4 linked regions of the Sus scrofa genome follow. The protein of the gene in region 2 interacts with the protein of the main gene of each other region in a pairwise test. Links are inferred from orthologs where the notes say so. Each region holds a gene or a part of one and is shown on either strand. Other genes may lie near its edges.

Region 1 (4,228 bases), on a different chromosome or scaffold from region 2:
TTGTTTTAGAAAATCTGCCCTGCTCAACAAATTACAAGGCCTATTTTGACTTGTGTGCTTTGTAGTATCAGTCATATAAATGGAAACGGATCTGACTGTAAGAGGGCCGCTGATGAAGGGCAGGGAGCACCTTTTCTCAACATTGGGCTGAAAGAGTAAAAGTTGAAAAAGAGAAATTTCCATTTAGCTATTCAGCATCTCCCTCCTACAGGCTGTGCTACTGCCTGCGCCCTTTCCCCGCCTAGACCGTAGTTGCTGCCGCCTGGGGAGACCGACCTGACTCCTCACCCCAACCACCGAGAGTCGGGGCGCGACCAGAGTGCAGGGAACGGGAAGGTTTCCCCCAGCCTCCTCCCGCAGGGCGGAGGACGCAAGACCAGCCTCTGTCTCGCGCGCATGCCCAGTTGGGAGGGTGCCCTCAAAAGGGAGCGCCCAGCTCAGGTTGTCCCCGCCGCTGGGGAGGTGCGGGGAGCAGGCGCTGGCCCCGTGGTCCAAGGAAACTCCGGCGTTCGACCCGATGGGGCCGCAGCCAACTGGGCGGACTTTTGGTTTCCTGCCTTGGCAACCTGTTCCCGCCGCGTTTAAAGGGAGCGGGGCAAAGATGGGCACATCCGAGGAGGGTGGCGCCCGACGGCCAGGGCACCCTTGTGACATGGCTTTTCGGGTGTCCTCCGGGGAAAGGAAGGCCGCGCTCCCCTAGGAAGGAGAACGATACGCTCCGAAGAAATCCCGGGGCGGTCACTCCTCTCGCTGCCGGGAACCTCTTTTAAACTGGCCGCAGCCAGGACAGACTTAACTGTCCCACTGATGTGCCCGCTAATGTTAAGCGCCCTTCCCGCGGCCACCTCCCTTCTCTGTGCCCAGCGGGCCCACACGGCTGCTCTGAAAACAAGCGTCCTCAGATATCTGTCTCCAGAGGCGCTGGCCTCATCGCCAGCATGTCCATGCCGGCCCCGTTTCAGGACGACTGCCTTGCTTCCCGACCACCCTCCCGGGTCTGAGGCGGCCCAGGGTCTCCTCCTTCGGGAAATTCCCGCCTGTGCACCCGGCCTGTCGGGTAATGAAGACTGGCCCGTTTTCCGGGTGTGGGTTGGCCAGGTCGGGGTAGCGACCTGGAAGGTAATAGTTCGGGCACAGCGTCCCGGTACCCAGCCTGCCCAGGGCCTACCCTCCGCCCCTCCGGCGGCAGCCATCAAGCTCCTCCGCGGCGGCTGCAGCCGGCCCGCAAACACACGCCCACCCGCACGCTCAGATTGACTTGCCCCGGGGGGAAAAAAAAGGGAGGCACTGAGCATGCTCGGCGGGGAGGGCGGGGCGCTCCCGGAGTGCGCGTCGGGGCGGGCGCTCCTCCGGCCGGCTCGGCGCCTCCGCCGCCTGCCCGCTCCGAGCTGCGCCCGCCGCAGGCTGCGCCCGCCCCGCCCTACCCCGCCCCGCCCCCCGCCGCTCGTCCCCGCCGCGGCCGCGCTGCCTGCAGCAGCAGCAGCAGCGGCAGCAGCAGCGGCAGCACCAGCTGCTCCTCCCCGGCGGCCGCCCCCCGCGGGTCCCTCCCTGGTTGCGGGAGAGACAGAGGTAGAGGGAGGACACAGCGCCGCGCCGCCCGCACCGGAGACCTTCGCCTCGACCTGCCGGCTCCTCACCCTCTGGGAGGAACATGGGTAAGTCATCCTTCCTCCCCCGTCATCGCCTGACATATTTCTCTTTCTCGGCGTGGTGCAGGGTGGGAAGCATTTCTCGCGCAAAGTTGCCGGATTTCTCCAGTCCACCGGGGTGAGGCAGTGGCTGTTTCTCCGGGGAGAGTCGGCGCACGCGGAACGCACGCCGGGTCCCAGGGCTGGGAGGGTCCAGAGTGCGGGGTGGGGTCGGGCCGCGGGGCCGGACCGCCGCCCGGCTCTCGGGCACCTCGCTGCCTCGCCTCCCCTCCTCCATTCTTCCTGCCCGAGCCGGTGCCCGGGCACCACGGAGCCTGCCCCGCGGGCTCGCATCCGCTGCCCCATCCCGGTTTCTTCAGAGGCCGCCGGCTTCCTTCCCCTCGCGGCTGCTGGGCTGGAGACTCGGGTCCGACCGCTAGAAAGACCACTTCACGTAACTTCCCTGTCTGGGCGACCTTTCCCCATCTTGGGGACTGCTCATCCCGAGGCGGGGAAGTGGGAGCAAGTAGTTTGTGGGGGTGATTTTACAACCTGCACGGAAATTATTTTCGGTGGGGGAGAGCGGACAGTCTCATAGGTTGAAAGGATGACTTGTCAGAGGCCACGAGGAACGTGAGGCAGGATGGATAGAGCCGCTAGCTGTTGAATTCGTGTTGGGTGACTACAGTGTGCACTATTCCGGTGTTCAACGCATTTTCTTGGCTCCTTCGCCTGTCTCCTGTAGCACGAAACTGCACCCTGCCTGTCTGTAACATGGTACCGAACTTACATACTAGTAATGCTTTCCCAGCTTCCCTTGTCGGAATCTATATAATGCGATTTTAGTTCCTTCGTGTTTGTGATTAATCTTAAGAGTTTGGGATGAGATATTTAAGAGTTGGGATGAGATGTTTTACAAAGCTACATATAATTAATCCTACTTTTTCATAATATGTTGCTTCATTGTTAAGTTCAGTAATTGCAAAAACGTCTGGTGGCTACGGTAATGTGATTAAAAGACGAAACATTTTTAAAAATTGTAGCGGTTTGGAATGCCATGCTTCTGCCTGTTCCCCAGTTTGCTTCCATTCCTGTCATAGTTTCTTTCTTCTTTTTAAAATTTGCTCCTTTGGCACCTGTCAACTCAGACTTTCCCCACCCCTTCCTTGCAAGTTATTTTAAGCTTGAGATGAGTGTGGACCTTTTATCTGTCAGTCTGGTGCCCAACACGTCCAGAGTTAGGTCATGGCAACTCAAAATCTTCAAGGAAATATCTAAATCTAGAAATGGTGTCTATGGAGCTCACTCGAAGAGCAAATGCTCCAAGCTCTGATTCAGACCTTTGGCGGAAGAGGTCATTTTTGCAAGAGGAGGTATAAATCTAGGACACTGAATTTTGTTTTCTGTTGTTCAGTTTTTTCCTTTTTAATGTGCTGTAGGTATGCTGAACATATTTCTGTAAAAGTTTGGTGGCCCATTTATTATTTATATAAATTTCTCTGGGAGTAGAATTTTAAATAAATATCAGTTCAGATTATTGGATACCTTGTGTCTTTCCTTTGAACATTGCAAAGGTTTTCTACTTAATTACAGGCCACAAGTAAAATAATTAACCCGAAAATCTTTGCTTGATTTCAAAGAGAGTCCAAATAGAAATCCATCTCTCATTTGAAGCTTCTCAGATACTCGGATTAAATCACCCTCTCTCCTCATACCATTCTGTTTGTACCTTGTTGGAAGCTTTTTAGACCTTACATAATCTGCTTTATAACAGAGTTGTTTATGTGTTTGTATTGTGCATTTAATCATGCATTCTAGAAGGTGAAAATTACGTCGTTTTAATTTCAGGGTCCTCCACAGTGCTTTCTACATAGTAGGTATTCAGTAAATCTTTGGTAAATTAATTATTGAACTGGAAACCTATCTATTATTTTCAACTGGGGAACCTGAAAGTCTGGGCCCTGAACAGACATTTGGGTTGATAGATTTTGTGCAGGTGGTGGAGGTGTGGAGGAACTGGGTACAGAGAAGTATAATTATACTGTGACTGCTCTTCTCTTTCTCTCAAAAAAAAAAAAAAAAAGTTGTGTCGTCTCAGATGTGTGGGTTTTGGAACAGCCACTAGGCAAGCTATTTCTTCCTACACTGCTCTTTTCAATGGTAAGGTGGTTTTGTTTACCATCAGTAGACATATACAATAATGTAAAATTGAAACATTGAAAGACAATATTATATTCTAAGCCAAGGAAGTTATTATAGCAATTCCTATATACATAAGGGTATACTGATAAGCGATAGGGGTCAAAAAAATCGCTAATGTCATTTTCATAAGTAAATATGGTGATTTTTAAAGAAGATATTGTTATGGCAGTGATTTTTCTCCAGAAGAAAGTGAAGGAAACTTCCAATGTAACCTTATGGACCATGTCTATTATTTTTATGTATACATTTATATATATATATACTTAAAATTCAGTGTGTACTTAATATTTCTTGTATACCTACCGTGGGAGGAGAAAGATCAAGAAGACATTCGTTTTTCAGGTTGCTTACAATCTTAACAGGAATGATACATACACAGATAACATTAATAGAAATAA
Region 2 (3,500 bases):
CACCACCGACCACACCTTGACTCGCAGCCCAGCAACCCAAGACGGGTACACAAAACTTCCAAACGTTTCAGAAACAGAAAATGATTTACTAAAGGACAGAAAAGCCCTAAGAATTATTTAATTTGGAAAAACTAAAACTTGAAGGGGAGTTCCCATTGTGGCTCAGCGGTTAGCGAACCTGACTAGCATCCATAAGGACGTGGGTTCGATCCCTGGCCTCGCTCAGTGGGTTTAAGGATCCAGCGTTACCATGAGCTGTGGCGTAGGTCGCAGATGCGGCTCAGGTATGGCGTTGCTTCGGCTGCGGGTGTGGCATAGGCCAGCCAATTTGCCCCCCAGCCTGGGAATCTCCATATGCCTCAGATATGGCCCTAAAAAGCAAAAAAAAACCCAAAAAACCATAAACAAGTGTCACTCTGGAAACTAACTGCTTTTAAAACTGGTTTGCAAAAACAAGCCGGTACCTATTTCACGTGGCTGTCCCAAAACTGCATCAAAGAAGGTGAAACGCATAGCGCCATAGTCAGTAACTGGTAACGATCAAAAATTACACAAAACTCCGACTGGCATCTAGGGAGAGATTCACTATGGAACCAACTGAATACACTGTTATTTACTGGATGGACATACCCAAAAGACTGAAACAGCAGCAAACTCAAAGGTGATACGAATTAGTCAATCAGGAACTGTCTACTTTTTTTTTTTCTTTTTTTTTTTGGCTTTTTAGGGCCACATCTGCGGCATGTGGAGGTTCCCAGGCTAGGGGTCTAATGGGAGCTGTAGCCACCGGCCTACACCACAGCAACGCCGGATCCTTAACCCACTGAGCAAGGCCAGGGATCGAACCCACAACCTCGTCATTCCTCGGGATTCGTTTCCACTGCACCGCAACTGGAACTCCAGGAACTGTCTACTTTCAAGGAGGCATTAAAAGGCAGTCATCTCCTTACTGTTTGTGGGTAGGACAGGGGACGTAACCGGTCGTAATCTTCTTGTCCAGCCGTATCCCATAAGCCCAGATTCACCGGTTTTCCATCCACCATAACATTGGCAGAATAGTTGTCAAAGCTGCAGAAGAAAGCACAAACAATGAGTCGTTAGCCCTGCAGCAAGAGCCCAGGCCTGGGCTGCACAGGCAGCGAGGGGCAGCGGGAGCAGACGGAGGCCCGCAGACGCCGGCCCCGAGGAGAGGCCTCCCGAGCGCTGAGAGGCGGAGGCAAAGGGGAGCCGAACAAGGGAAACAAGCGCGCGGAGGTCTGGGCGACAAGGACAAGCTCCCCAGCTGACCCAACAGGCGCTGCCAGCAATAAAAACCTGCAGGGGGAGTTCCCGCTGTGGCTCGGGGGGTTAAGAACCCGACTCATATCCACGAGGATGTGGGTTCGATCCCTGGCCTCGCTCCGTGGGGTAAGGACCCGGCAGCAGCAGCTCGGATTCATCCCCTAGCCTGGGAACTTCCAGACCCTCAGGCGCGGTCCTGAAAAGCAAAGTAAATAAATAAATAAACCTGCCTGCCTCGAGTGAAGAGAACATCAATGTTTTTCTCCCCCGGAATGAAGAAAGCGTAAAATTAGTTCCTCTTTCACACCCCACTTGTAGAGTTTCTGTGTTCATGTGACTCACTCTCCGTAGGGGCAGCCACCAGGGCTGCACGGGCAGTGCCTGTAGAAATCCACTGGCGGGAGGCTGCTGTCAGGGGAGCCTTGGTCAGGGGAGGGGGAGCACAAAGCACACCCGATCCGAGACGCTACAGTGTCACGTTTTCAAAGGGTGTGCAACCAGGTTTCACCAGGCTATAAATTAACCTGAGGTTGCTGCACTCAAACTAGTTCACTGTGAGAAGAGGCTCGGACGCCCACGGCCCACAGGGCAGAAACAAAGCTGACATTAAAAATTACGAGAGAGTTCCCGTCGTGGTGCAGTGGTTGGCGAGTCCGACTGGGAACCATGGGGTTACAGGTTCGGTCCCTGCCCTTGCTCAGTGGGTTGATGATCCGGCGTTGCCGTGAGCTGTGGTGTAGGTTGCAGACGCAGCTCAGATCCCGCGTTGCTGTGGCTCTGGCGTAGACTGGTGGCTATGGCTCCGATTGGACCCCTAGCCTGGGAGCCTCCATACGCCACAGGAGCGGCCCAAAGAAATGGCAAAAAAAAAAAAAAAAAAAAAAAAAAAAAAAAAATTACGAGTAGCAGGGCATGAAAACATTTTCTAAAAAATTACGAGTACCGTGGAGTCATTGATTAAAAAGCCATCTCTCATCACCATTTAAACCAGGGCAACCTGCTGTACAGCACAGGGAACTGTATCTAGTCACTTGTAATGGAACAGGATGGAGGATAAGGTGAGAAAAAGAAGGTACATACATACATATGTATGACTGGGTCACTCTGCTGTTCAGCAGAAAAATGACAGAACGTTGTAAATCAACAACAGGAAAAAATATCAAAACCTAAAAAAGTTGTTAATAAATACACAAACAAACCAGGGCAAGTACTGAGCAGAACACAAAACATAAGCCTTGAAAATAAAATTCCAGAATTAACTTGTCCATACTTAAGGCTAAACCTTAGGATCTTGGTGGCAGCAAAGCCATGGTCTGAGTAGGTTCCAATGTGATTTTTAAGTTAATGACCAAGCCAGCTTTCCTAGGGAAAAGTGCTATACACGTCTGGTTTGGTGGGAAGAGGCTAGATTATTCAATAAACAGTACTGTGACTTTTTTTTTCAGGAGGCTCAGCTACATGGGGCTCCCTGGCAACCCCATCATCAGAAAAGCACTTTTCCATTCCACCCAATTCTGCTGCCAATAGCGAAGCAGCAGCTCAGCACCAGCTCCGTCCTCCCACACACCCCCGCCCTGCACACACGCGCACACGTGCGCACACACACACCCTGGTTTCAATACCGAAGCCCAGTAACTCAACAGTGACAAGCAACCATTGGGTTGCTTGCCAGAAAAGGCCAATTAAAACATAATGGTATTTTGTTCCGGTTCCTTGACCCTTCACACAGAGAGCCCAGAAAGCCAAATTTATCTGAAACGCTCACATTATCCAGTCTCTGGGTTTCACGGTTGGTTTAACTTTCATTTCCTGAATATCTAGAAATCAATTAGGAAAGCTGTTTCATCACTGTGCAGAAACTTTCTATTAGATTAAGTATCTTCTAAAGGCCCAAACACCTTATAATTAGACTCGGTGAATGAAAAGACAATTAATTCTATCTGTTCCCATAAGGATTAAGAAAGACATAGCAGAACAAGTCAATGGAATCCAAAAAAACCCTGTGACAGACAATTCCCGGTGTACCTCGGGATACTTACACCGTGGGGATATATTCTCCGGGAAAGGCATTGGTCGTGTAACTGATCAGGAGGCAAGTTTTACCCACAGCTCTGAAGAGACAGAAAAAAAAAAAAATGGTGTAAATTGCTTCGTCAACATGAATGCAATCCTCGCTGTCATTATGCGGTGAAAATGTTTGATAGGAAAATCAGAAGTAT
Region 3 (4,249 bases), on a different chromosome or scaffold from region 2:
TCTCCATCCTGTCTCAACAACTCCTGTTTGCTTCAAGATAAATTACTTTGCTTATCTACAGACTACTCCTAATTTGGTCTCTGCCTAAGTTCCCAGTTTCAGATCTTGCCACCACCCTGTACCCTTGCTATCTATACCTGCAGACCCTACGATTCACGGAAGTTGAGACTCCTGCAGTTTCTCCTACCTAAATGCCCATGCTTTCTGTGCCTGTACACCTACCGTTTTCATCCCCTCCAATATACACTTTTTCTTCCTAGTGCCCCCTTTCTCAATCTTTCCTTCTCCTCCCTTAAAAATAAAATGACCACTACCTCCTTTGTACACCCACTGTGGCCCATCCTTTCTCCAGTGAAAATGATCTTAAAAACACATTGGACTTGCAGACAGTTCAAATAAGAGATAAAGTCTTATCACACAGAAAGCAGGGACAGTACCTTATCTATCTCTAAGCCATCTTCACAGTACCTGCTACACAAAAATTCCTCTACACTAAGTGATCTGCAATTTCCCATATATTAACAAAAGTTTCTATCCCAGATTTCCTTTCAAGAAAGAACATACTTTGGGGTGACATTCTGGGCCCAATCTTTCCTTGCCAAGCAAACAACTGTATAAATCAAAGTTAATATGCACTTTCTAATACCACTTATATTTTTCTAAATTAAAAGAGAAGTGGTCCCTGGAGGATGTAAAATGAGAAATGCTATTTTGAAGAAAAGATCATAAATTATGTCACCTTGCTTCAAGATACTTTGTTTAAAGAATTACTTCTCAACAGTTACTGTCAAACGGGCTACTATGAAAAGTGGGAACCCTTCTACTAACTTCCTACCTCGACTACTCACCAATTCAGTTTACAGCAATTACGCATTCTCAGGAAAATACTCAGAAAGGAATTAATTAATCATCTAGAAAACTGGAAAGGCAAAAAGTGAAGTCACCTTTCTCATTCAGAGGTCCACTTATTCTTTTAGAAGTACTGCTGCCTCCAGGACCACCAAACCACAAGTGGGCCTGTCCCTTATGACTTCTTGAATATTCCGTGAATAACTGCCCAGTGGGACAGAATGTCACCCAAGGGCCGCAACCCTGGGACATGCACGCTCCGCTCAATAAAAAAAAAATCGGCGAAAGCTCTGCTAATGGGGCGAGTCGGTGTGTTAACTCAGTGTCCAAATGACTGTGCTTCTTTCAAAAGAATGTTCAAAATCCCTCGAATTAGTATTTTAATCACCTTCCAGAACTCCACCAGGCCCGAGACATGTTGCTTGCTCAAGAGGAAGGCTCTGGGTCATGAATCCCAGAACCTGAAGCAGCATAATGACTTCAGGTAAAGCAGAGGTGCGGGAATTTTGTAAAACCTGTTTCACTCTCACAACGACCAAGCGTGGGGGGTGGGGGGTATGCTGACCTCAATAAAGCCTTTAAGCACAAACCTAATAGACAAGGTTGTGAAAAGAATTTTCCCCTCGGATCGGTCCCGCGGAAGCCCCGGAGCTCTGCCGCTCCCGCGCTGGCGGTGGAAGACCGCGAGCCCCTCCCCGCCCACCTGGCAGCACTAGAGGCCGGTCACAGTTCCGCTGCGGTTACGTAAAGGGCCGAGTCCCCAAGCTCCATCCCCGCGCTCAGTGGCTGCCTGAGGCAGAGCCCCAAACCCACCCTCCTCCCCTAGACCCAAGAGCCCGGACACACCGCGGAGTCCCGATAGGCCAGCTGAAGAGCGGGAGAGACCGGCAGTGGGGGCGAAACGCGGAGGAACCCGCCGGGTCCAGCCCGCTAGGGCAGCCACGCCCCCGCCCCCGCCGCGCCGGCCAGGAGCCTGGCCCCGCTCCAGGCTGACATACGCCGCGACCCCCGCCCACCCACCGTTCGCCACTGACCTGCGCCCGCGCCGGGTGAGCGCCTGCCCTGCCGCAGCCGCCGCTTCCCGACTCTCACGCCGCCGCCGCCGCCGCCGCAACCACCTCCTTCGCTAAGCCCTGGGCCGGCCTCTGGCACCCCATTCCCACCCCGCCCCAGCCTCCGCCTGTTTACAATGATTGGGACAGAACCGGACGAGCCGGGCCAGCGCGCACGCGCACTCCTTCCCCGCCGCAGCCGGCTTCCCGGGTCCCCAGCTCGGCGCTGAAGGCCGGAGCCGTCGAGGGCCGGCGCCCTATGCCCCCAGCGTGGAGCACGCTGGGAGCGGTAGTCCACGGAAACCCATAGCCGAGGCTGTAGGCAGTCCTCCGCCAGGAAGCGCACTACAACACCCAGGAAGCACCACGCCTGCCCGGTCCCGGCGCCCGCTGGGGAGAGCTGGGAGCGCGCGAGAGGACGCGCCGGGCTCGAGTCCGCTGGCGCCTGCGCAGTTCCTGGTGGTGGCGGGCGACGCGCACCTTGCCCAAGCGAGGTCTGCGAGGATCGCTGGGGCGGTGCTGGCCGCGGACTGGAGGAGGGCAACGTGTTTCTTAGCTGCGGAAGCTCAGACCTTCCCGCCGGCGGGTTTCAGCCGTAACCAGTTAAACCGGCCCGGAGGCCGGCTCGGCCCGCTCTTGGGTGGGGCCTCCCCCCGCCCCGATTGGGCGCAGAGGCTTCGGCTTCCGTGGGGACTTTGGCTGCGGGTTGCGGCACAGGGAGCGCCGTGGCCTCCGCGGAGAAACTTGTGTAGACTCCGTGCCGGGACTGACCTCGGCATCCCTGAAATTAGTGTCCAGAAGGCAAACCCTCGGGTCTTGCGGTGCAACGGGGTCCCAGTTCCCACCGCCTTCTCTGGCTCGGCGTTTCCCGAGGAGCTCCTTAATTAGAACTGCCCATCGCACGGTTAGCTTGCCAACCAAAAGCATTGAATCTAGAAGAAGACCAAAATAACCGTACTTCCTCCAGAACGCCTTCACAAAAGCTGGAAGAATTGTGCTAATGCATGGCTGGAAACCAGGGGCCTTTAACTGTTACTGTTTCATAAAGTGTGGCGGTTTATTAGAGGAATGATAAAACCGGAATAGATGGCGCTTCCCGATCCTCACATTCCCACCTGCGATGCTCCTCTGAACTTCATTCCATGTTTAGATTGACCTCTCTAATCCATCTTGCCTTGCTCTTTACTCAAGGCTAACAGTAGGTCTCCCTCGTACTTTACATTTCCTTCTCAATAAAGTGCAGCCACCTTGTCTGACCTTCAAGAAGAGCCCACAATTAAAATACCAAGTTGGGAGTTCCCGTCGTGGCGCAGTGGTTAACAAATCCGACTAGGAACCATAAGGTTGCGGGTTCGGTCCCTGCCCTTGCTCAGTGGGTTAACGATCCGACGTTGCCGTGAGCTGCTGAGCTGCAGACGCGGCTGGGATTCCGGTTCCTGTGGCTCTGGTGTAGGCCGGTGGCTACAGCTCTGATTGGACCCCTAGCCTGGGAATCTCCATATGCCAGCAGGAGCGGCCCAAGAAATAGCAAAAAGACAAAAATAAATAAATAAATAAAATAAAAGCTTCTGTTTAAGTCTGGAGATACATGAATCTCCAGGACCCATGAAAACTTTTATCTGAAAAAGGAAAAATAAAAATAAAAATAAAATACCAAGTTGGTCTGTGCTTGCCATTGTTTTGACAGCTTTAAAATTTTCTTATTGCCTCACTGGCAACAGCACAGTGTCCTCACCACTGGGATCGATCGGCACGTTAACCAAGCCAGTTAGAATACTCTGCCTTTGGCAGCACCGACTGGGCCAAGGGATAGGACTGATCCAAGTTGGGCATTATTGACCCCTTGCTGGAAATTGTTATATGAACACAAAAAAGGGAGGGAAGATTGCATCTTACTGTAGCAACAGCTGACCGCCACCTTCTTCACAACAAAAAGAGGCCTTTGTGCAGCAGCAATGAATGAAGCCAAAAGGAGACTTGGAGTGCTAGTGGAGGAGGGAGGAAACAAACAGCTGACCGCATGGAGACTGTGTTTCAGTTTCAGAGGGCATGGCTAGCATACCTCTTTCTAAAGTGCTTTGAGTATGTGAACCTAGCCGAGAGAGCCAATGCAGCTATTTATTTATTATTATTTAGGGCTAATTTGTGTGGTTATGGAACATATTTGTTGGTTGCCTCCTGCAATTTATTCCTCCCATTTAAGCCACACAGCATAATTCTTCCTTTTGGTGGTGGAGGCTTTCAGAGATGGTCACCTAACTCAGTCAGAGCCGACGAGATCCACTGAGACTTGGGTTGGAGCTTCTAGTAAACTGCAGCATTCTTGCTCTTCTGGTATGGTGAAAGTT
Region 4 (4,147 bases), on a different chromosome or scaffold from region 2:
TTAGGGGGAGAAAAAAAAGCATTAGAGGAGAATGTTGGCCTAGACAAGGAAGCCGGGGAAGGGAGAGGAGCCTAGTGGGCCAGAGCCCTCTGCCTCCTTCATGACTGAAGATATAAGGCAGGTCAGTTTACCTCTTTGCACTGCCTCCTCCCTTCCCAGGGTAGGTAGCACTGGGTACTGGTTTCCATTTTTTTCCCCTTTCAGCAGTAGTCCCTTTTCTTTTTCTTTTTTTCCAAATGAAACATATATGAAAGCCCAAAATACAAAGCAGGTGAAAGAGGGATTGTCTAAGGCTGCCTTTGAAGTGTCTTTACAGAACCCTGGGATTCCTGGCTCATCCTATGACCTGTGACATTGTAAGAAGGGGCAGGATTGATAAGCACCTCCACGCAACTCTAAACTTTGGAGTGAGGGCCCAGAAGAACACCTGCATGGTAGGAGGTGGTATCCACAAGCATTCATTAAGTGAACCTGGATGTGAACCTGAAGGCCCCCCTTTGCAAAAACAGGTGGAGGAAAACATTTCATTGCGAACTTCTGAGGGTAATGGTTAAGCTGCATACTTGGCGTTCTCTCACACTCAAAAAAACTCAACCCCATGCGATGTTATTTCAAATCTACCTCTCCAGATTGTTGGAGAGGATTAAATGAATTGACTCTGCTGTGTCCCAGTTGCAAAAGAGGCAGTTTTGAAATGTGCGGTCCCCCAAGCTGTAAAATACCAAGCTATTTGTCCTAATGACACAGCAGACTCTGAACTCAAGAATTCCGCAGGAATATCACACCACTGCAAATTACTAGGTGGTGCTGAGTCTTTGAAAAAAATGAAATAGAAACAAAAGCATTGCTCTGTTTTTGAGATGCACATTTGATATGAGCTAATCAAATAGCTTTTGAGATTATTTTCCTGGAGGCAGAATTATTCTGCATAGTTAGCCCTTCAGTTTCCCCCCTTTCTTGTATCTATGTATGTATAAACACAAGGCCCATATAGTAGACTTTTTTCTCTCTCACTGAAGTTTCTGAAGACAAGGCCTTTTTGTCACGGATAAGTACAGGGCCAGTCAACCTTACAAAAGGAGTCATTTAATGCTCAATTTCTCCAACGTTCCTATGATTAAAAACTTCTAACCTCAAATGCTGTTATTGTGTTCTGGATTGTTTTCTTTCGCCCTCCCCCTAACAAATGTTTAAATTGTCTCTACTCTGGAGGATCGGCTTTTTTTCCAATCTGACCTTGAAAGCAGAGACTCTCTCCTTAAGAAACGCTCTCCTAAACTATTTTCAAGGCAAGGCCCTCTGACCTTTTTACAACACTCTTCTTGTCTGACACACCAAACGCTAATCTGAAAGCCAAGAGGAGGTAAAGGGTCTGAGGGGTTGGGAAGGGGAGGGAGGGAGGTACTATATATTTGGCATCAGTTCAGAAATTCAGAAAATGTTTGTGCAACCACTCCCCCAGCCAGGATCCACCGCACCCCCTGCCTTCCAGCACATTAATAAAAAAAGATGTGAGCTGATGAAACTGGAGAAGCCGGGAGGGACACCTAAGGCGGTCATAATTATGTACCCAGAGAAGCCCAGTGAACACCATCCCACAGGTCCAGTCCTCACCCCTCCTCTCCCACATCCAAAGTTGGGGATCGGGATCTCTCCAGCCCCCACCCCAGGCCCCCAGGGGTAGCCGCTTAAACTTGCAGCAGCACCGCCCATTAACGGCTTGTGTGACACAAACGGAAGGACTGACACAACCTCTACACGTCGGGGTGGCAGCGCTATGCACCTCAAGAATTGTGTATATTCTTCAAAAAGAAAAAAAAGTAGAAGGAGCGCACAAGCCTGGAATACATTAACTTGTGAATTGAATGTAACACACCCTCGGAGAGTCCCTCTTTCTCTCAAACAAAAAGAAGGGGGGAGGGGGGTAGGCGAAGGCACTTTACCATCCTGTCCTGAGCTTTCCAGATACTCCGTGAGGTCACAGCCAAAGGCGCTGGCGGCTCCCTTTCGTTTCAGCTTCTGCTTGGCACCCTTGTTCTTCATGAGTTAGTCCCAAAGAGGTTGCCCTCCGTCTCCCCCTCCCCTCTGCTTGGCACCGCGCCGACGGTGGTCTCCGGGGTGGGGGTTAGATCAGTGGCTGCGGCGCGGCGCTGTGGGGCCGCATGGGCGTCGGGAAGAGTTTGGGCCCGGGACAGAGCGCATGGAGCCCGCGGGGCGCTGAGCCCGGCGCGGGCGCGGAGCCTGAAATCCACCGCGCGCTCCTCCAGGGCCGCGGTGCCGCAGGCCGTGCGGAGCTGGCAGCGGCGGGCCGGCTCGCTGGGAGTGTCACTTCCTCACTTGGAGTCCCAGGGACTTTCACAGGTTCCCGCGGTGTCTTCGGTTGTCTTCCTCCTCTTTGGAGGGAGGGCGAGCTCTCCGGTCCGTCTTCTCGAAGCCCGGGAGTGGCCGAGGGCGCGGGGAAGCCGGCGGCGGGCGCGGAGACGGCCCGGGGACTGCGTGGGTCCTCTGCCCGGCGCGCGCTGTCTTGCCTTCAGACGGCTTTGGTAGAACGAAAAACAAGCATCCTGTCTCTCTCGCCCGCCCTCACGCCTTCCTTTTTTTCCTGTCTTACAAATCCTAGGATCATCCAGCTCAGGAAATGCTGGAAGGAAGTTAGCTAGGGAGGGGGGCGGAGGGTGGAAATTTTTGGCAGCTCTGTGCTCATGTGTGTATGGAGCCGGAGGAAGTAGGTGGGTGGGTTGAGGAGTACGGGGTTGGGGAGAGAACGCGCTCTTCGCAGAGCTGCTCGGCGACTCTAGAGATAACTGGCCCGCCCGGGAGGAAATCGCCGCTCTCCTAGGAGCACCCACAGCCCGAGCCACCCGCTTCCTGCCCCATCGACGGCTCTTTGAAGACGGCGGGAGGAGGCGCGCTGGCACTCTGGATGGAGGGGGCTAGGTGGGACTGAAAAAAAAAGTCCTCCCTTGTATTTTATCTTCATTGTCATCATCTCTTTGACAATTTCTATTTCGGTGCCTGTCTGCTCCTACACAAACACTTAAAGAGTAATGACAGAAACAAAGACAGGGATTCCAACGGAGAAACCTAACGGGGAGCAGTTTTCGCCAACCACTCCCATTCTACTGTCCCGCGCCCCAGTACCCCCAACCCAGCTAAGTCCCCTCCAAAGCTGAGGGAGGGATGGAGGCTGCCACTTTTTAACCACTGCCCTGGAAATCAGATTTCTGATTAGAGATTCAAGTTACACACACACACACACACACACACACACACACACACACACACACACACAGAGGCATTACTACAAAGTTTGCTAAATGGAAGTGATGCGGGGGGTGGGAGTGAGGGGACCAGGACTTAAGGTGACTCTGATATTCTAACATAATCTGAAGAAAGCAGTCTCTCAGGTTATTTCATAATTTGTCTCAAGTTTTCAGGAGGGCATGTTTTTTCTCCAGTTAGATTTGAAATTCTTTGACTTCTGTGTACTCAGCACACAGTAAGCACTCAAATTCTGGTGATTTCACCATTTGAGGATTAGATTAAACTTCCTGTATAAATTCAAATCCATATATAGGCTTAAAGGGTAGAGACAGTCATAGAGCTCAGAATGCTGGAAAAAGCTTTAAGTATAGTATTTTAGTTACTGAATCCTGTCACAGTCTCTTATCTCCCTATGTATCACCAAGACAGTGTATGAACTTTGACCCTTGACCTTCTCTCTTTGTGAGTACTCACAATTGATAGCCTGCCTGCTGAATCTGGCTCACAGATGTGTTTGGTTTGTTTGCCATTTTAAATATTAAAAAAAAAATTTTTGCCTTTTTAGGGCCGCACCCATGGCATATGGAGGTTCCCAGGCTATGGGTCTAGGTGTCAAATCAGAGCTGTAGTCTCTGGCCTATGCTACAGCCACAGCAATGCCAGATCCAAGCTGTGTCTGTGACCTACATCACAGCTCACTCATGGCAATGCTGGATCCCCTCCCCACAGAGTGAGGCCAGGGATCAAACTTGTGTCCTCATGTCCTCATGGATCCTAGTCAGATTTGTTTCCACTGAGCCACGATGGGAACTCCTTAAATATTTAAGTATTAAATATTTAAAATTTTAAAATTAACTGCCAACATTAAAGAGTTAACATTTTT

Evidence for each region. The genes of interacting proteins can lie anywhere in the genome.
Region 1: the proteins of RAC1 (region 2) and RAP1GDS1 interact in binary tests that used the Homo sapiens proteins (3 or more experiments, as listed by UniProt). The link is inferred for Sus scrofa from reciprocal best matches to the Homo sapiens genes RAC1 and RAP1GDS1.
Region 3: the proteins of RAC1 (region 2) and RALBP1 interact in a two-hybrid assay, tested with the Homo sapiens proteins (2 studies listed by BioGRID, with this or other methods). The link is inferred for Sus scrofa from reciprocal best matches to the Homo sapiens genes RAC1 and RALBP1.
Region 4: the proteins of RAC1 (region 2) and ARHGAP31 interact in a two-hybrid assay, tested with the Homo sapiens proteins (2 studies listed by BioGRID and IntAct, with this or other methods). The link is inferred for Sus scrofa from reciprocal best matches to the Homo sapiens genes RAC1 and ARHGAP31.

The regions. Positions count from the first base shown.
Region 1 is NC_010450.4:122,004,610-122,008,837, reverse strand, and holds the start of RAP1GDS1 (rap1 GTPase-GDP dissociation stimulator 1), read left to right. Parts: upstream 1-1,428; 5' UTR 1,429-1,651; coding exon 1,652-1,655; intron 1,656-4,228. UniProt on the Homo sapiens protein: Acts as a GEF (guanine nucleotide exchange factor) for the Rho family of small GTP-binding proteins (G proteins) that stimulates the dissociation of GDP to enable subsequent binding of GTP.
Region 2 is NC_010445.4:4,790,011-4,793,510, forward strand, and holds part of RAC1 (ras-related C3 botulinum toxin substrate 3), read right to left. Parts: intron 3,393-3,500; coding exon 3,321-3,392; intron 1,069-3,320; coding exon 951-1,068; intron 1-950. UniProt on the Homo sapiens protein: Plasma membrane-associated small GTPase which cycles between active GTP-bound and inactive GDP-bound states.
Region 3 is NC_010448.4:98,596,146-98,600,394, forward strand, and holds the start of RALBP1 (ralA-binding protein 1), read right to left. Parts: upstream 2,801-4,249; 5' UTR 1,884-2,800; intron 1,785-1,883; exon of another isoform or gene 1,696-1,784; intron 1-1,695. UniProt on the Homo sapiens protein: Multifunctional protein that functions as a downstream effector of RALA and RALB. As a GTPase-activating protein/GAP can inactivate CDC42 and RAC1 by stimulating their GTPase activity.
Region 4 is NC_010455.5:140,945,704-140,949,850, forward strand, and holds the start of ARHGAP31 (rho GTPase-activating protein 31), read right to left. Parts: upstream 2,801-4,147; 5' UTR 2,044-2,800; coding exon 1,944-2,043; intron 1-1,943. UniProt on the Homo sapiens protein: Functions as a GTPase-activating protein (GAP) for RAC1 and CDC42. Required for cell spreading, polarized lamellipodia formation and cell migration.